2 linked regions of the Drosophila melanogaster genome follow. The protein of the gene in region 2 interacts with the protein of the main gene of each other region in a pairwise test. Each region holds a gene or a part of one and is shown on either strand. Other genes may lie near its edges.

Region 1 (10,367 bases), on a different chromosome or scaffold from region 2:
AAATAATATAAGTTAAGACCCAGCTCATAAAGTTCTGACACCTCATAATCTGCAGGAAGGAACGGCAGTCATTTGGCCATTTGTTATAAAGTAATCTCGTTGGTTATGTAATAGTAGTAATAGTAAGGAAATTTTAAGGATTATATTGTAATTAAATTAATTGGCTTTCAAGCTTAAAAATGAAAAATACAACATGAAAATCCAATGCTAGAATGTCCACTATCATTTCAACAAATTGTACTTTTAGAACTTATTGATTTAAAAAAGAAATCTGAAACCCAATTATCCATCTGAATAGTTCCCTCTTGGCAGGATTTATACAACAACGCCTATTATTTTGACCACAACTGTTCGCTTACAATTCCTGCGTAGCGATCATTTACCAATATAGCGCAAAAGGCCTGGCGAAATCTTATCTGCACTGCGAAGCCAGCTGGATGGATGGAGTTCCCCCATGGAATTAAAGTCTTGCAATTTAATTTCGCGACCTGGCGGGACCTTGATGGACGACGATTCATTGCGACGGGACGGCGGGCGGTCGAACCATTCAATAAAAACCCCATATTTATGCGCTGTAAACCGGGCGGGCTTCACCATAAAGGCGTCCCGAACCGGACATGGTCTTCGATCTTGGCTGGCACTTAAGGCAAAGGGTGAACCGTAAACTGTTAGCTGTCTAGCCAAGTGGCCGCTCCAACTCGATCCCATCCAGCTGCGCTGCAAACTAGTTTCGCTGCAGAAGTGGAAACATCGAGTGTGCGTGTCTATCTATCTTGTTTCGCCCGTTGTCACTGTAGTTATATCTTTTTATCTGTCGTGGTACTTACACTCCGCCAGCAGCAGAACCAACAGAAGCGCACTGTTGAAGACCAAAGTTTTCCGCAGTGCCATCATATTGCGAATTTATGTAGATATGCGGGCACCGTCGTCACTTCCTTTATCAATTAGCTCCTTATCACTCACGCACAGGTTACGCGCCACTCGATCGCTGGATACTTTTCGATGATTAAGCGCTCGTTCGGCTTATTCTGCGGGCCAAATTGTAAATGTTTGTTATATTTCTCCGCCTTGCCAGTTTTACGTGCGTTCGCGACGAGCTTTCCGTGCGGAATGACAAACTCAAGCTGAGAGCCAGCCGAGTTAACCCCAACTCTGTTAACTCTCTGTTAACCGATCGAGGCAGTAACATTGACTTACTGTTGGGGGTATTCGAAACGAAGAAATTACTTAGCATTCTTAACTTTGCTCGGATTTTACCACCTTGCTCGTTAACCGATTGTTAAAGGTATAAATTATTATTATTATTCAGTACATTTTATTCCTGATATGTGCTATTTTGAATAACGAAGTGGGTCATGAATGAATTCTGTGAATTAAAAAATCAAATACTTATAGGCTTTTTTATGCTAATTATTCATCAAATAAAAATGTCTCTAATTTATAATCACTGTTTTTGTCACAAACATCAAAATATTTTTCAAGTTTTTGAGATACATGAATCACATGCATAGAAAACAATGACTACTTAGGTATTTGCAAACATTTTTATTTGAGCAACAAACTATTTTCTCCCTCAAAACAGCAAGTTTATACTACTTATTAACCAAGGTAAAATTAAAATGTTTTACAACTGTCATCGGAAAATAAAGCATTCCATGTTTTAAAAACACCCAATCGAATGGATTATGTAAAAGTATTGGATTTTTTTTATTTTGCCCACTTAGTAGCAAGTGGCGCTTACGGATGCCCGATCCATGGGGCAACCATAAACTTGGATGTCTGTGATTAGGGTAAGGAAACATAACACTTATTTCACAAGAATTCGCCAGCTGCTTAAATGGTACATGTAAAAATATTGAAGTATTTTTATTTTTCTAGACATTCTGAGTGGCGCTCGATGTGTACGTACATACAACTCTTTGGATTCTGTGTGTACAGTCAATTTACGATGCCCAAGCCGCCCTGAGCGAATTCCATATTTACAAGAGAAGGGGGTGGGGATTGGGAGGGGGGGGGGTGTCGGAAAGGGTTGGGGCCTTAAAATACCTAAACTCAACTACACTCAACAATTTGCTTATGGTCACTACTTATACGCCTTATACACCGGCGGTTGCACTTTAAGCTTCAACGTTATAGATTTGGCCAGGACACCAGCGGAGGAACCACGATCCCGACGGCCAATCCCCGCACCGAACACTCCTTCCGTGCTAGCCGGAAGTGGATCGGCGGTGGGCGTGGCCGCAAGGAACGGCCAACCGGGGCGTCATTTGGGATATGAGCCGCGCCGGAGCCGGCAGTCTGCTGTGCCCGGAATTCGTGGGGGAATCGTTCACGGGACCGACCAGCAGCCCCTGCCGGGCGGACGCAGTTGACTAGTGGCGGACAAAACTTTCAAAGCAATCGAAAGCGAAACCTTTGTACACACTTAATAGATTCCTGCGGGTCGAGTTCGTGGTCAGTTCGTCGTCAATGCTCAGTGTCCAGTAATCTTTTCGTTTGTTTTTTGGATGAGAAAATGAGGGAAACTTAAACGGCTCGGTAAAAAAGAAAGGCGTGGCAGCGCGCTAAACAAATTGCTCTGAGCTGTTGGCGGACAGCTCCATCAGCCGCCAGGCAGCCTTGGGGTTGAGTTCGTTGCGGTCGCGGCACAGCACCCAGACGTAGTGAACCCGCATCACCTTCTCCGGATCTCCCTCGACGACCTGACTCTTCTGGTCCCGCACGCACATAATCTGCTGGGCTTGGAACGTGATAATCAGTACCGGGCCCTGCTCCATAACCTTGCCCATTGCCAGTTCAATGTTCTCGATGTCGAGGATCTTGGAGTCCAGGTACACGCCGGCCTTCTTAGCCTCCTTAATGGGATTTGCGATAATATTGAAAGTGCTCTCAAAGCACCAATCCTTCAGAATCTCCAGATCCCCACGGACAATCGATTCCAGAATATTTGGAATGATGTCCGTTTCGCAATCGCGGAGGAAATCCTTCTGATCAAAGCTCGGATCGATTTTCACCAGCTCCGTCATCGTTTCCGAAAGCTCTGTCTTTGAAAAGAGTCCACCCATGACGTCGGACACTTTATCGGTCAGCAGGCGGGAGGCACGAATAACAGGGTTCTCGGACTCGTCGTATTTAACCTTCCAGTCAAGCACCTTGTTCACGTAGGTATTGTTGTTCTTGAAGTTCTCCCACGACTCGTAGAACTTGGAGTCCTTGTGCAGCTCCATACCTGAAAAGTAACATTACATTATGGCCATGACCTTTGATCTTATTGAAGGAAAAAGATGGAGACTCACCAGTGGCTTCCGTGTTGGGCTCCACAACGCGATCACTATCGCTCATGACGAGCTGGACGCGCTTTCGCAACTTGGCAGGAGCACGATAGACACGATTCTCTATGCTCGCGCTGTCCATCTCCTTCTTGATGGTCGTCGTCGTGTTAGAGATAGCCTGGAATGCGCTGGTCTGGCCCAGCTTGCCACTGGTGTCGGAGATCGTGTCGCTGACCCCCCTAGCCTTCTTCGAGAGCTCCTCGGTAACCTTTTTGGCCAGGTGGGATTTGCTGGCGTCCTCCAGAACATCGCCTACGCGCTCCTTGATGGCGCCCAGCTGCTCCTTTAGCATGCTAGACGACTTTTGCGCCTCCGATTCGACAATGTTAAACTTTTGCCGCGCCGATTTCAGGGCATCCGATTCTTCCAGCTTCTGGGCCTCCTCACGGAACTTTCGGATATTGTCCTTGATCTCCTTGTTCTTATCCATCTCCGCCTTCATGTTGTCGAAGAACTGCGAGAAGAAGCCGGCCCTGCGACCTGGCGCACTATAAAAGCGGGGCTGCGGAGTAAAGTCATGACTTAGGCCGGTTGCGCCATGGGGTTTTATGAGCCAAACTCTAACCTGCTGCTGCTGCAGGTTCTGCGAGGCCTGCTGGCACGTGAAGAGACAGGCGCGATCCCGCACAAGGGCAGCTATTCTGTACTGCAAGGAGAAAAAATCATTGAAAGCTTCGACCGTTTTAACCTCGAAATATGCACATGTAAGGACGGATGTGAGCGAACGCCAGTGATGACCGGGATCAGAGGTAACCTACCATGGTGGGGATTAGGTGACCGTTCGCAGGTAGTTTGATCGGAGCGAATGTTCGGGGGGTCTGGCGTCAGAGGCTCTAAACTTTATGTAATTCCTGCCGCGAAACACGCACGTATCAAGCAGTCAGCTGTTCTCTTCGTTCAGCGCGCGCCGGTGTTGCAAAACGAGCGCTCTTCGCCGGCGGTGGCTCGTGCGATAGTTCGTTTTGTCGGTAATCCGATGTTGCCGCGCCGATATCATGTGATGTTGTCACAGTGCGCGAAATTCGAATGGTGGTGTGCAGTGATTGTGTTGTGACGGCGAGTGGCGCGTGTGGGTGCTTAGTTTTGGGAGATGTTTTCGTATTTTTTTGTTGATAACTCAGGCTTTGTTGCTGTGTTGTAGTACTATTTTCCATTGCGCGGTGTCCAGCTTTTAATTAGTGGCACATATTCTTAGCAAGTAAAAATTATTTTGCATACTATTAAATTTCTTATAAATTATTTTCTAAAATTAAGTTTACCTTTTCAATTTTACTAAAAATATCGATATATTTATTATCGCTGGAAAACTACATTATTCCACCTCTAAGCAAGAACCGTTAGTTGGCGCGTAGCTTTACCACAAAATTCCTGGAATTGCCGTACGCTTCGCAGTTGTTTCAAGTTGTCTAAGGGACATACGATTTTTTTTGCCTCTGCGTCACGATTTTAACCCAAAAGCGAGTTTAGTTACATGTACATTATTATTAGATAAAGAAGTATCGCGAATACTTCAGTTGAATAAACTGTGCTTGGTTTTTGGGTGAGGATTTGTGGAAAGTAGAGTGCGCGATAACCGTAACTTTCGACCCGGATTTTCGCCATGTTCCGCAGCAACTTGGAGGGCAGTGGCGCAGCAGCAGTAGGTGTTGCAAATCCCCCCTCGTTGGCTCAGTCTGGAAAGATTTTCCAATTGCAGGATAACTTTTCTGCTTTTCACGCCAGAGGAGGGCTCAACATTCTGGGCCTGCAGGACATGTATTTGGATACCAGTGGGGCCAACTCGTCGGCCACTTTGAGTCCGCCCATTACGCCGGTGACCCCTGACCCGTCGACGTCTGCGCAGTCGACGCACTTCCCTTTTCTGGCCGACAGCGCAGCCACCGCCAATTCGCTCCTTATGCAGCGACAGTACCACTACCACTTGCTGCTCCAGCAGCAGCAGCAACTGGCCATGGCGCAGCACCAATTGGCGCTGGCTGCATCAGCGGCAGCGGCTAGTGCGAGTCACCAGCAAACGGACGAGATTGCGCGATCCTTGAAAATCTTTGCGCAGGTGACGACGGGCGCAGCAGGTAAGAAGAAATGGCGAATATGGCGTCGTTTAAAACAGAATAGCCAAAAACAGTGCGCGGGAGCGAGATGACTATCTGTACAAGTACAGTTATGCCAAAGTCAATGGCCATGGGCTTAGTTAAAGGGGCAACGAAAGCACAGAGCAAAACAGAAGTAAAATTGTGTAAATGTATAATTGCTGCAGAGGTCAGAGGATTTTCGCCATTTAGTGTAGTATATTTTTTATTTTACTATTTTGTATGTGCTTTAAAATATATCTTTGCCCAACACTTGTATCCCCTTCAAGAGGTTTTTCGAGCGCCCCTGAATTTTCGGCCATTGACCTTAGCATTTTCGCTATTCCTTTTTGTTTTAACTTCGGAAAGCCATTTTGCGTCTTACATTTTCTAGAAGTTCTTTGCTTTTTCTCGTCTGTTCTTGTTTTTTTTTTGTATGCAAAAACTAATCCGTATTTGCTTATTACATTTCTGAAATGCAATTGAAACGCGAATAATAAAAAAAATACGTTCAGGACAAGGTAATGAAAAGCTTGCTATTCCCAGAAAATGCGGCTGGCTCGATGCAGGATGTGATGCAGGAGTTCGCGACCAATGGCTATGCCAGCGATGATCTCGGTCGCATGTCCTACGGGAGTGCTCCGCCACAGGTGCAAATGCCACCGCAGCAGCAGCATCAGCAACAGCAGGGGCTGCACCTGCCACTGGGCCGCAATCCTGCCCAGCTGCAGACCAATGGCGGCAACTTAATGCCCATTCCACTCGCCACCCACTGGCTGAACAACTACCGGGAGCATCTGAACAACGTGTGGCGAAACATGTCGTATATACCAGCCGCTCCCAATACAATGGGTTTGCAGGCCCAAACAGCGGCCACTGTGTCCACCAATCTCGGCGTGGGAATGGGTCTGGGATTGCCCGTGCAGGGCGAACAGCTGCGCGGAGCTTCCAATTCCAGTAACAATAATAACAACAACAACAAGGTGTACAAGCGTTACAACAGCAAGGCCAAAGAGGTGAGTGGATCTGATCCAGGATTCGCAGAATTAAAACTTGCAAAATATATTTGTTATCTTGTTTCTCCAACAGATCAGCCGCCACTGCGTCTTTTGTGAGAATAACAACGAACCAGAGGCGGTTATCAATAGCCACTCAGTGCGAGATAACTTTAACCGAGTGCTGTGCCCCAAACTACGCACCTACGTGTGCCCCATCTGCGGGGCATCTGGGGACTCGGCGCACACGATTAAGTACTGCCCCAAGAAGCCGATCATCACCATGGAGGATGCGATCAAGGCGGAATCGTTCCGCCTAGCCAAGAGCAGTTACTACAAGCAACAGATGAAGGTTTAGAGAGGGCGAATCCAGCTCTGGAGCAGAGGCTCTGGCAGCTTTTGCAGCGTTTATATAACATGAAATATATATACGCATTCCGATCAAAGCTGGGTTAACCAGATAGATAGATAGTAACGTTTAAATAGCGCCTGGCGCGTTCGATTTTAAAGAGATTTAGAGCGTTATCCCGTGCCTATAGATCTTATAGTATAGACAACGAACGATCACTCAAATCCAAGTCAATAATTCAAGAATTTATGTCTGTTTCTGTGAAAGGGAAACTAATTTTGTTAAAGAAGACTTACAATATCGTAATACTTGTTCAATCGTCGTGGCCGATAGAAATATCTTACAATCCGAAAGTTGATGAATGGAATTGGTCTGCAACTGGTCGCCTTCATTTCGTAAAATGTTCGCTTGCGGCCGAAAAATTTCGATATATCTACAATTGATCTACAATCTTTACTAAATTTTGAAAAAGGAACACTTTGAATTTCGAACTGTCAATCGTATCATTAGAATTTAATCTAAATTTAAATCTTGCTAAAGGAAATAGCAAGGAACACTTTCGTCGTCGGCTACGCATTCATTGTAAAATTTTAAATTTTGACATTCCGCACTTTTTGATAGATAAGCGAAGAGTATTTTTATTACATGTATCGCAAGTATTCATTTCAACACACATATCTATATATATATATATATATATATATATATATATATATATATATGTTATATATTTATTCAATTTTGTTTACCATTGATCAATTTTTCACACATGAAACAACCGCCAGCATTATATAATTTTTTTATTTTTTTAAAAAATGTGTACACATATTCTGAAAATGAAAAATTCAATGGCTCGAGTGCCAAATAAAGAAATGGTTACAATTTAAGGAAACAAATGTCCTTCTTGCGTTTGAAACAACTAATCCTTTTCGCCCTCGCGGCGTTTCTCGAAAAGGGCCAGGAAGATGCCATCGGTAAGATCACTGTCCGGCTGGCAATACAGGACGTTCTTGCCAATATTGGGATAGTCCTTGTCGCCCACATTGTGCCACTTGTTGCGCAAGGCCTTCTTGCAGCTGAGCAGCTTGAAGGATGGATTTAGCTGAAGACAACGCTGCACCACCTGCTCGTTTTCCTCCTTCCACAGCGAACACGTGCAGTAGGCAATGCGTTTGACGTTCGGAAAGGCGCCCATCGCGTGCGACAGGATCTTAATTTGCAAACCCTGCAGCTTTTGCAGCCGCTTGTCCTCCTTCGGCTCGTCGCACACGGTCATGCGGTTTTGCATTCCGCTGCCAGAGCAACTAGGGTCCACCAGGATGTACTCTACGTCCGGAAAGCGTTCGGGTGCTGAAATTCAAACGTGTTACTTTTTTAAATATTCATTGTGAAATATATAAATATAAAACTCACTTAGGTTCAAGGCGTCTCCCAAAATGGGTTTTACAATATCGCAACCAGCATCCTTTGTTATTTCGCACAGCGTATTGTAGCGTACGTGGTCCTGCTCCACGGAGTAGATGCATCCCTTGTTCTGCATCACATTGCATATGTGCACTGTCTTCATACCGGGAGCTGCGCACATATCCAGCACAGTGGCCCCAGACGGCGGAGCAAGTAGTTCGGCGGCCAAACAGGTGGCCTTGTTCTGCAGTATAAACCTCTTGCTGTGCACCAACGGATGGCGGACCCAGTAGTTGGACCACTTGGCAGGAAAAATGAGCACACCCTCAACGTGCAGATCGGTCATGAACTCGTTCTCCGCCAGCGATTTGATGGCAGTCAGAAAATCCGCATAGCTGGCGTCCGCAGGCAGCTCCTTGCGCCGCCAGTCGCTTTTATGCAGGTAGTCCAAGGCCTCCGCCAAGCTGTATAGATTTGTGTTGATGCGCACATATCGAGGATTGGGTTCTGTGTGGGCAAACAAAAAGACGAGTTCAAAATTGTAGCCAAAGTAAGATTTATTAAGAGTTGTTAAGAGTCGTTACTGGTCCTTTAAACGATCGAAATAATCTGGACTTGGCTGGCAGCACTTAAGTTACTGTTCTTTCTTTGGCTCCGCAGCTTCCGGCTCGTCGTCCTCATCCTGCTGCACGGGTTCCAAGGGTGGTGGGGGCTTCTCGCGGAAAGCCTTTAATACATACATGGCCACCACGAGGTTAACAACCACAACAGCCGTGAGAACTGACCAACAGTTGACCGTGAAAAGGTCCAAATGGGGGAAGGACTCCTGCAGCCAGCTGCGGACGCCATAGAAGCCCAAGAAGGGCAGCGTGAACATGAGCACACTGTAGGCCAACAGCCAGAGGAAGACCTCCGCACTGGTGTCCTCCTGCTGCGTATGATGCTCCACGGGAGAATCAATGACAGCCGGGGAATCATCAGTGGTAGCTGGCACCACATCGACATGCTGTTGTTTCCTGTTCTTCTTGCCCATCTCAGCCGGCTAATACTGGTAATCGGTGTGATAACCTGCCTTTTCGCTGGACACCGAAATCTCTGATGGAATTTAGCAGTCGATCCTTGTAACTTCGCACCGTTTGCACGGGTTTGCTTTCGCCGTTCAGCTCCTTCCTGCCAAACAGCAGTTCGGTGACTAGAATCTTGGCCAAACTGGGATCAAAACTGGGATTGTCCCTGAGCAGTCCTGTCTCTTCGATGGCCTTTTCCAGTGCCACACGATTTTCGCTAAATTTTTTCAGAACCGTATGCAAAGAGCGTGTACGCTACAAGTGAAGTGCGAGAGGGAAAAGTTATACGCATATTGGTTTGATCTGCGGACGAGAGGTCCAATCCACTTACGGCATGCTTCTCTGCAAATATTAGGGTCTTGATGCACTTCTGCTGCTCCAGTGCCGCCTTCAAAATCTTGGCAGTCGCCCTGTATTGGGTGGGAACTTTTATGGAATGCGGTTTTTTACTCATTGTCGTCACGTGCACGTGTATGTGTTGTTTGCGCTAGAATAGGTGCAACCCCAATCACGACTTTATCGATATATGCTTATCGAATGTCAGGGCTGGAGATAAGCATGTGGCGTTTGAAACAAATCATATTGTTATTCATGTTTTGAAAATATCTACAATTAATGTAAAGGTTGTTCTAATTTTGCCAACGATAACTACAAAACATATATGTTCTATCCAATATATTTACATACAGGGTATCAAATTTACAAATAAATTGGCAGTGTGGCCATACGTTGCGAGCAAAAATTACTGTACTTCAAGCATTGCCAACACAAGAATATTTTCATGGTTAAAAATTTTGGCGCGATAAAGCCGCAGTTTAAAATGTCAAAGTGTGCGCGTTCTTGGAGGTTTACCAAAATTTAGAATCATGCTTTTATTTATCGTGCATAAGTTGGTAAATTGGAATTAAATCAAGTTTTTTCCAATTTGTTTCTGGTGTGTCGTTTGTTTTGGGGTCTGTACGGCTGCTTTAATTAAAAAATATTAAAATGAAGCACGCTATTCTTTAAGGACTTTAAGGAAACGTACCTTTCTATGTTTGCCCAGGAGTTGATAGACGATATCAAGGCTGAGGATCGCATCCTACAATGTCCTTGGTGCGAAGAACAGACGTTGAGTCCATCAGCCAGCACCCGGAAACTTTTGTATTGGC
Region 2 (5,990 bases):
ACGAGCAGTGTTGGATACCGATTCAAGCATTCATCCGGACTCATTCCACTGATGGTGCCTTGGCGAAGTACGGTGCTTTTTTGCTGCAGACCCGAATCGCCCCAGCCGGCAATTTGAAAAGGGAAGTTTTTGAAGGAGGAAGTTGACAATTCAATGCCAGGCCAAATGCAAATGGGTCTGATCTGAAGAGTGTATCTGAAAGAGAGGACATCGATGGGAAAATGTGAAAAGAGGGAACCCCAAAGAGCACACTACTTACTTCACCCGACTCTTCAGACGCAACAGAGCAATGTCGTTGTAGTGTCTTCCATTTCTCGTGTAGTACTGCTCGTGCGGAACCCTCAGATCCACATCGATGTCCACGTGCGCTGGAGCCCATATCTTGGCTCCATTCGGCAGCCAGGTGTAGTCGGGATCGTTCTCGGTGTCATGCTCGCCCAGGCGCACACGTGCCACGTAGAAGTCATTCACATTCAAACAATGGGCTGCCGTCAGCACATAGCGACTGGCGATCAAGGAGCCCGCACACATGGGAGACGGTCGCTGCTTTGCTGTGTAGGCTTCGTAACCCAGCAGGACTGTCCAGGGAAACTGGTTGGACTGTGCCTCCATGCCGCCTACGATATATGACGAAGGAGGACTCTGTCCGCAGACCCTGCTATCTGGTAGTTTATCCCCTGCAACCATCGGGCAGCAGGTAAAAACCATGTGCACTAGCTCGTGGGCAAAAGGATTAATGTTGCATAGTTTGTTCCGGTACTGTGATTTTTGATCGTTTGTCATGTTCCGGGGATGTAGAATCTTCATAAGAGGTTCACATTTGCTCAGTGGGATGCAAATCTCGTCTAGTCGGCAAAAATTGAATTTTGCTAAGGGGGGTAACAAAAATTGACCAATTAATGGAGCTCAAAATGGCCGAAAATAGCATTTGTAACACTGTATGAAATCCTATTAAAGATTGCATTTTCCTGGTAAGACTATAGTTTTGTGTAGCGAAATCAACCCAATGAAGTTCCAATTTTGTAATTATAAGGTATTAATTATTGTTGAGACCAAAAATAGATCCGTGAGCTGCCAAAGTATATATTTAACACTGACACTGATCCGATGAAATTGTAGATATGTATATTGTATTGTAGTTGCCACTATTTACCAAATTGGAAAGAATTCGCCAAGGAAATCGCTTGAAGCAAAAGTGCCAAATAAAAATGGATCGAGACCATCTTGAAATGTCAAAGCCTAACCGAATACTGAATTCAAAAGCCAGTTGGTCTTAAAAGTTCAAGCTTATCTCGATTGCTAAAATGATTCATGGCACGATGTCCAATCCACAACTTTCCTTGGGTTAATTATAATGGCCTGCCTGTCCGTCCGTATGAATGTCGAGATGTCGGAAACATTAAGAGTAAGGAAGCATGTAAGTTTTCTTTAAAACCGTGCCACGCCCCTGTTACGCCCTAAACTCCTAAAACGCTCACATCCTAAAAGTCTTCTGGATACCAGGAAACGTTCAAATCCTACTACTTTTAAACATATCAAAACTGTAGTAATAGATTGATCAGAGCTATATCCTTGCTACACGCCAAATTATTCAAATTCTACATATCCATATGTTGCAGGTTCATAAACTGAGTAACAGGTATCTAACAGTCGCAACACTCGAATACATTCACAGGTTTTTTGGAAATGAAGGACACCATCACCCTGATACCGCGTGACTAGAACGAGATTTATTTTTTACTTTCTCCACAATCCCAAAATACCGTTGAACAAAAAGATGATAATCAATTTCCATCTCCGTAAACAAATATAAATCCATTCTGAATATTTCAAGACACAATTTTTTTAAGTTAAAATCAAAAATCTGATTCATACCGGAACTGTGAAAAAATACTTATCACTTGTGTCACACCAGCAATATGTTATGACGTCAAAAATCCATATCTGTAAATATATCTAAGTTAGAACTTTTATTATATAGTCTATATTCATAATGGTAATGCAAATGAAAACTCTCTTAACTTCTAAAACTCTTTGTTGGTAAATGTAAATAGAAATGTAACATTTAACCTGAGTGTGTATACAAGATACAAGAAATATAAGATATGTATGTATTAGCCAGAAGACCTGAGAAAAATTTAATGGATGTTGTGTTATCCGTCAAATAAATTGTTCAAAAAATATTTAAAATATCAGCGCGATTCTTACCTGTTACTTGTAAAGCAACGCAGACTCTTAAAATTTCTTTCGTTACGCCTACTTATATAAAAGGAAATTAAAAGAATTGCTTAATATGTTTGCTTTGTTTGGCCTTGTTAAAAGAAATAATAAGTAATTCTGTGATGAAAACATTTTTAAGCAGAGAGAACTATATAGTCCAGTTCCTCGACTATCAGATACCAATTACTCAGCTGGTGGAAAAGTTCAACATTCATTTTGGCTTATCTATACAAATTGGAAAAAAAAATAATAAGATGAAAAATAGGCAAGTAACTTTTTAAAAGTGTGGGTTTGGTTTGGTTTGGGCGCATCCAACATATCTTTTGCCATACTGATAACAAATAGTAAAATTAAAAAATGTCTACACATAAAAGTGAAGACGTAGCAGATTTCAGTGTTAAAATGGGCGTGGTAAAAGGTTTTTGGCATAGCTCTAGAAATTGGCAAGACAAGTAATAAAATGAAAAAAAATCGATTCATTTTTTTAAATTGTGGCGTTGCATCATCAGAAAGAAACTGAATTTCTAATCTTAACTTTCTAGCTTTAATAGTTCAAGTTAATAGACAAGGATATCAAAAATATATACATTTTTAAACGAATCTAGTATAACCATCTACTACACGAGTAATAGGTAGAAAAATATAATTGTTTTGTGTAAAAATATCATTAAAAAATAATTCAAATGTTTAGAGAAAAAGTTTTGTATTAAATGTTTGATTGCATTCAGCGCTTTGGATTTGTTTTCAGTTGATTTCGAGAATTTGCGCACTCGCAACTCTGGCCACACCGCACGTCACGGCAACGGCAATCCTAGAACTATCTGCCACATCAGATTTTTCAAACTTTGTATACTGTTTCTCAAAAGAAAACGATGTCATAGCAAATTAAGAGTGAATCGTAAAATCAACATCGAAAGTGTTGCCGCCTCCATGTAGAAGTGACCCCGCTAAAGTCCTCGCCGCTTTACAAACGCCGCAGCATCCTCAAGACAGTTCTTGGACCAAGTGGAACGAATCCAAAGATACACATAACACTTGTGGAACGCCCACACTTGTCGAAAGAAGAATTGTAGATTGCAGCGAAGACGTGTATCTAAGATAAGTGTTAGGACGAGGTTGGGAAAGCACAAGCAAAATGGCACACACTGGCGGGAACCTATCCGGTAACATGCAGCCGCCACCGCCTTCCGGAGGCAGGTTCTCCGTGGACATGCAAAGGTGAGTAAACCGTAACAAGGAGCGAATAGCTAATTACTCTTGAACCCTGCAGCCTGCCCTCGCTATCCAACCTGCCATCACCGCTGCAGATCTTCCAAATGGTCCGAAACTCCCTGCGGCCCTGGGTAGTCTTCTTCAACATCAACAATTTCAAAACGGCCATCAGCATGCAGCGGCTAAATAGCCGGGTTATTCGGAATCTCTCCTATTTTCAGGCCAACTACGTTTTCATCTTTTTTGTACTGATGATATACTGCCTGTAAGTGATTCTAAAAACCTTATTGCACCCCATTTAATAGTTATAATCTTAAGCATCACGGCTCCCTGCATTCTGCTGGTCATCCTGGCTTCCGCTTTTGGCTGCCATAAGCTGCGCGTGCGCAACAGTAACATTACCATCGTGGGACAACAACTGACGCCCAGCCAGCAGATCATCGCACTCAATCTGGCGACGGCACCAGTGCTATTCCTGGTGGGCGCGGGTGCGGTTTTGTTTTGGACGCTGGGTGCTTCATGCTTCGTGATTGCTATGCATGCTATATTCTACAACATCGATGCTATTGTAACGGAGGAGAATGAGGGTTTCCTCGCCCAGGTTGTCTGACCGCCAGCCAGAAGCTAAACCCTAGGTCTTCTGGGATCGTGGCAACCAGGGACGAGGAAAGGGGCTAAACATATTCGCCACTATGGGGCCTTGCAAGTCGACACAATATGTTGTACACCTATTTATAACGAAATCTAGTTAAGCCGCAGACTTTAAATAATCGAAATACACACTATGACAGATTCATACGACTATATTCTTTTTGGCAAATTAATCGCAATATATGAGGCGCATTCGCTGAGAACTTCGATTTAATTCGAAAAAAAAAATTAATTTAAAGGATGTGGTCAAGTCATTGGACTCTGTGGCACTTACAATATTTCAGATATTTTCGAGCTCTTTAGAGGCATGCGTTTTAAAAATGTATTCTTTTAAATAAAGAATAAATATAAGTAACCGGAAAAAAATCGCATAGTCGGTTCTCCAAAAGAAGTTTCCATAAATAAGCTGTTTAAAATACATTGAACAAACGGCTCAATAAATCAACTAGAAATACACCACGATCGGAATTCTCTGCGATATGCACCACAAGGAAGGTAAATAAAGTTACCTAAAGTACACACATATACATAGCTCGCGTAAAACTAAGTCGGTATTTCAATGAGGTACAGGTAGTTAGAACTAGGAATGCTTTGTTAGCTGCGTAAGTCTTGGTCCTTCGCCTAGGCGTACTGGGCACTCGCCAGTGTCTTCGTCTCCTGCTCCTCGTCGCTGGCCTGCTGGTCCAGCTTCTCGAATCCGTTGCGATCCCGATCGAGAAGTCCGCCCAGCTTGAAGCCATCGCTTTTCTCCCACGCGTGGCGACGACCGCGTGCTCCGAAAGGCAGGCAACCTGTGGGATATGTTGGTACAACTGATTAACTAACAATTACCATGGGATTTATATGAGCAATAACACTAGTCACCCCATTCCCTTCTTAGTTCATGCATAGATCTGCGATCTGGCGTGCACTGGAACAAACCAAAAACGAAAACAGAATACACTTAAGGATAAACGTAAATTTTGTTTGTATGCTTATGTATTTTGTATAAAAAGTTGTATATAATTTGTATATAAATGCGGTATAAATTTTAATTACAATAAAGTTGAACGAAAAGTAAGCCAACGAATACAGAACACACAAGAAGTGGACATGCTGTGTAATTAACGACACCAAAAAAAGCGTAAATAGGGAGATTCAATTGTGGATACAAATGTAAACAGGTTGGAGCTTATAAGTACAGGACACTAAATCAGTTAAGTGTGACAGCACAACACAGGACATTGAGTGAGGAGTTAGCACTACCGATCAGCCAAGACTCTGGGTGGAAGCAGTCAGCTTTCGGTACACCAAGTCACTGGGCGTAGCGGAGCTGTTCGCTTGGTTACCTCGTTTCCTCCGCCGCGCAAAGATCAAAGCCAAGGCAAAGGTAGAGCCGGCGAAAAGGAGCATGAGCGAAGCCACCAGGATTGCTTTGCCGCTCGGGTGGTGCACAGCCACTGCGGGAACCTGGTCCCCTCCCACAGCTTGGCTAATAGCGCTGTCCCTAGAGTCCTTGCTGGCCGACAAGGACATTGGCTTGGCCAGAGATCGGTGGACGAACTTGTGGATACGCATTGGATTCAGCTCGGCCACGTAGATCTCATTGCCGTCGGCTGTAACGGCCACGTCGTGCGGGTTCTGGAACTGCAGGTTATTGGGGCCGAACTTAGACACCAGTTGCTTGCTGCGCATGCTTAGCACGAAACCGTGCACCTCGTTATAATGCTCAGGATGGATGCCTAACTCGGCGGTTGGTCCGTTGACAATGACCAGCTGCCCACCTGTAGCGGAAAATGAATACATTTAGGGTTGAGATTTGTACAAAAGATGCTCTGTTATGGTAATGTGAATGATAATGCAACATTTTAAATAGATGCTTAACCGTCGAAAGGTTCTTATGACACCTCATGAACACCGATACCAGA

The links.
Region 1: the proteins of CG1418 (region 2) and CG11779 interact in a two-hybrid assay, tested with the Drosophila melanogaster proteins (one large-scale study listed by BioGRID).

What each region holds. Positions count from the first base shown.
Region 1 is NT_033777.3:19,152,569-19,162,935, forward strand, and holds CG11779 (uncharacterized protein), read right to left. Parts: upstream 7,311-10,367; 5' UTR 7,138-7,310; coding exon 7,042-7,137; exon of another isoform or gene 6,755-7,041; coding exon of another isoform or gene 6,491-6,754; intron 6,418-6,490; coding exon of another isoform or gene 5,948-6,417; intron 5,405-5,947; coding exon of another isoform or gene 4,933-5,404; exon of another isoform or gene 4,670-4,932; intron 4,450-4,669; exon of another isoform or gene 4,094-4,449; coding exon of another isoform or gene 4,091-4,093; intron 3,979-4,090; coding exon 3,898-3,978; intron 3,835-3,897; coding exon 3,297-3,834; intron 3,230-3,296; coding exon 2,565-3,229; 3' UTR 1,837-2,564; downstream 1-1,836. Other genes in the region: CG5835 (uncharacterized protein), read right to left, coding at 828-894; nanos, read left to right, coding at 4,933-5,404, 5,948-6,417, 6,491-6,754; Nsun5 (Nop2/Sun-like domain containing protein 5), read right to left, coding at 7,665-8,095, 8,159-8,656, 9,222-9,471, 9,548-9,670; CG42359 (uncharacterized protein), read right to left, coding at 8,784-9,182.
Region 2 is NT_033778.4:9,962,082-9,968,071, reverse strand, and holds CG1418 (uncharacterized protein), read left to right. Parts: upstream 1-3,004; 5' UTR 3,005-3,355; coding exon 3,356-3,438; intron 3,439-3,490; coding exon 3,491-3,697; intron 3,698-3,750; coding exon 3,751-4,042; 3' UTR 4,043-4,237; downstream 4,238-5,990. Other genes in the region: CG12133 (uncharacterized protein), read right to left, coding at 1-195, 260-807; Pal1 (Peptidyl-alpha-hydroxyglycine-alpha-amidating lyase 1), read right to left, coding at 4,705-4,874, 5,412-5,846.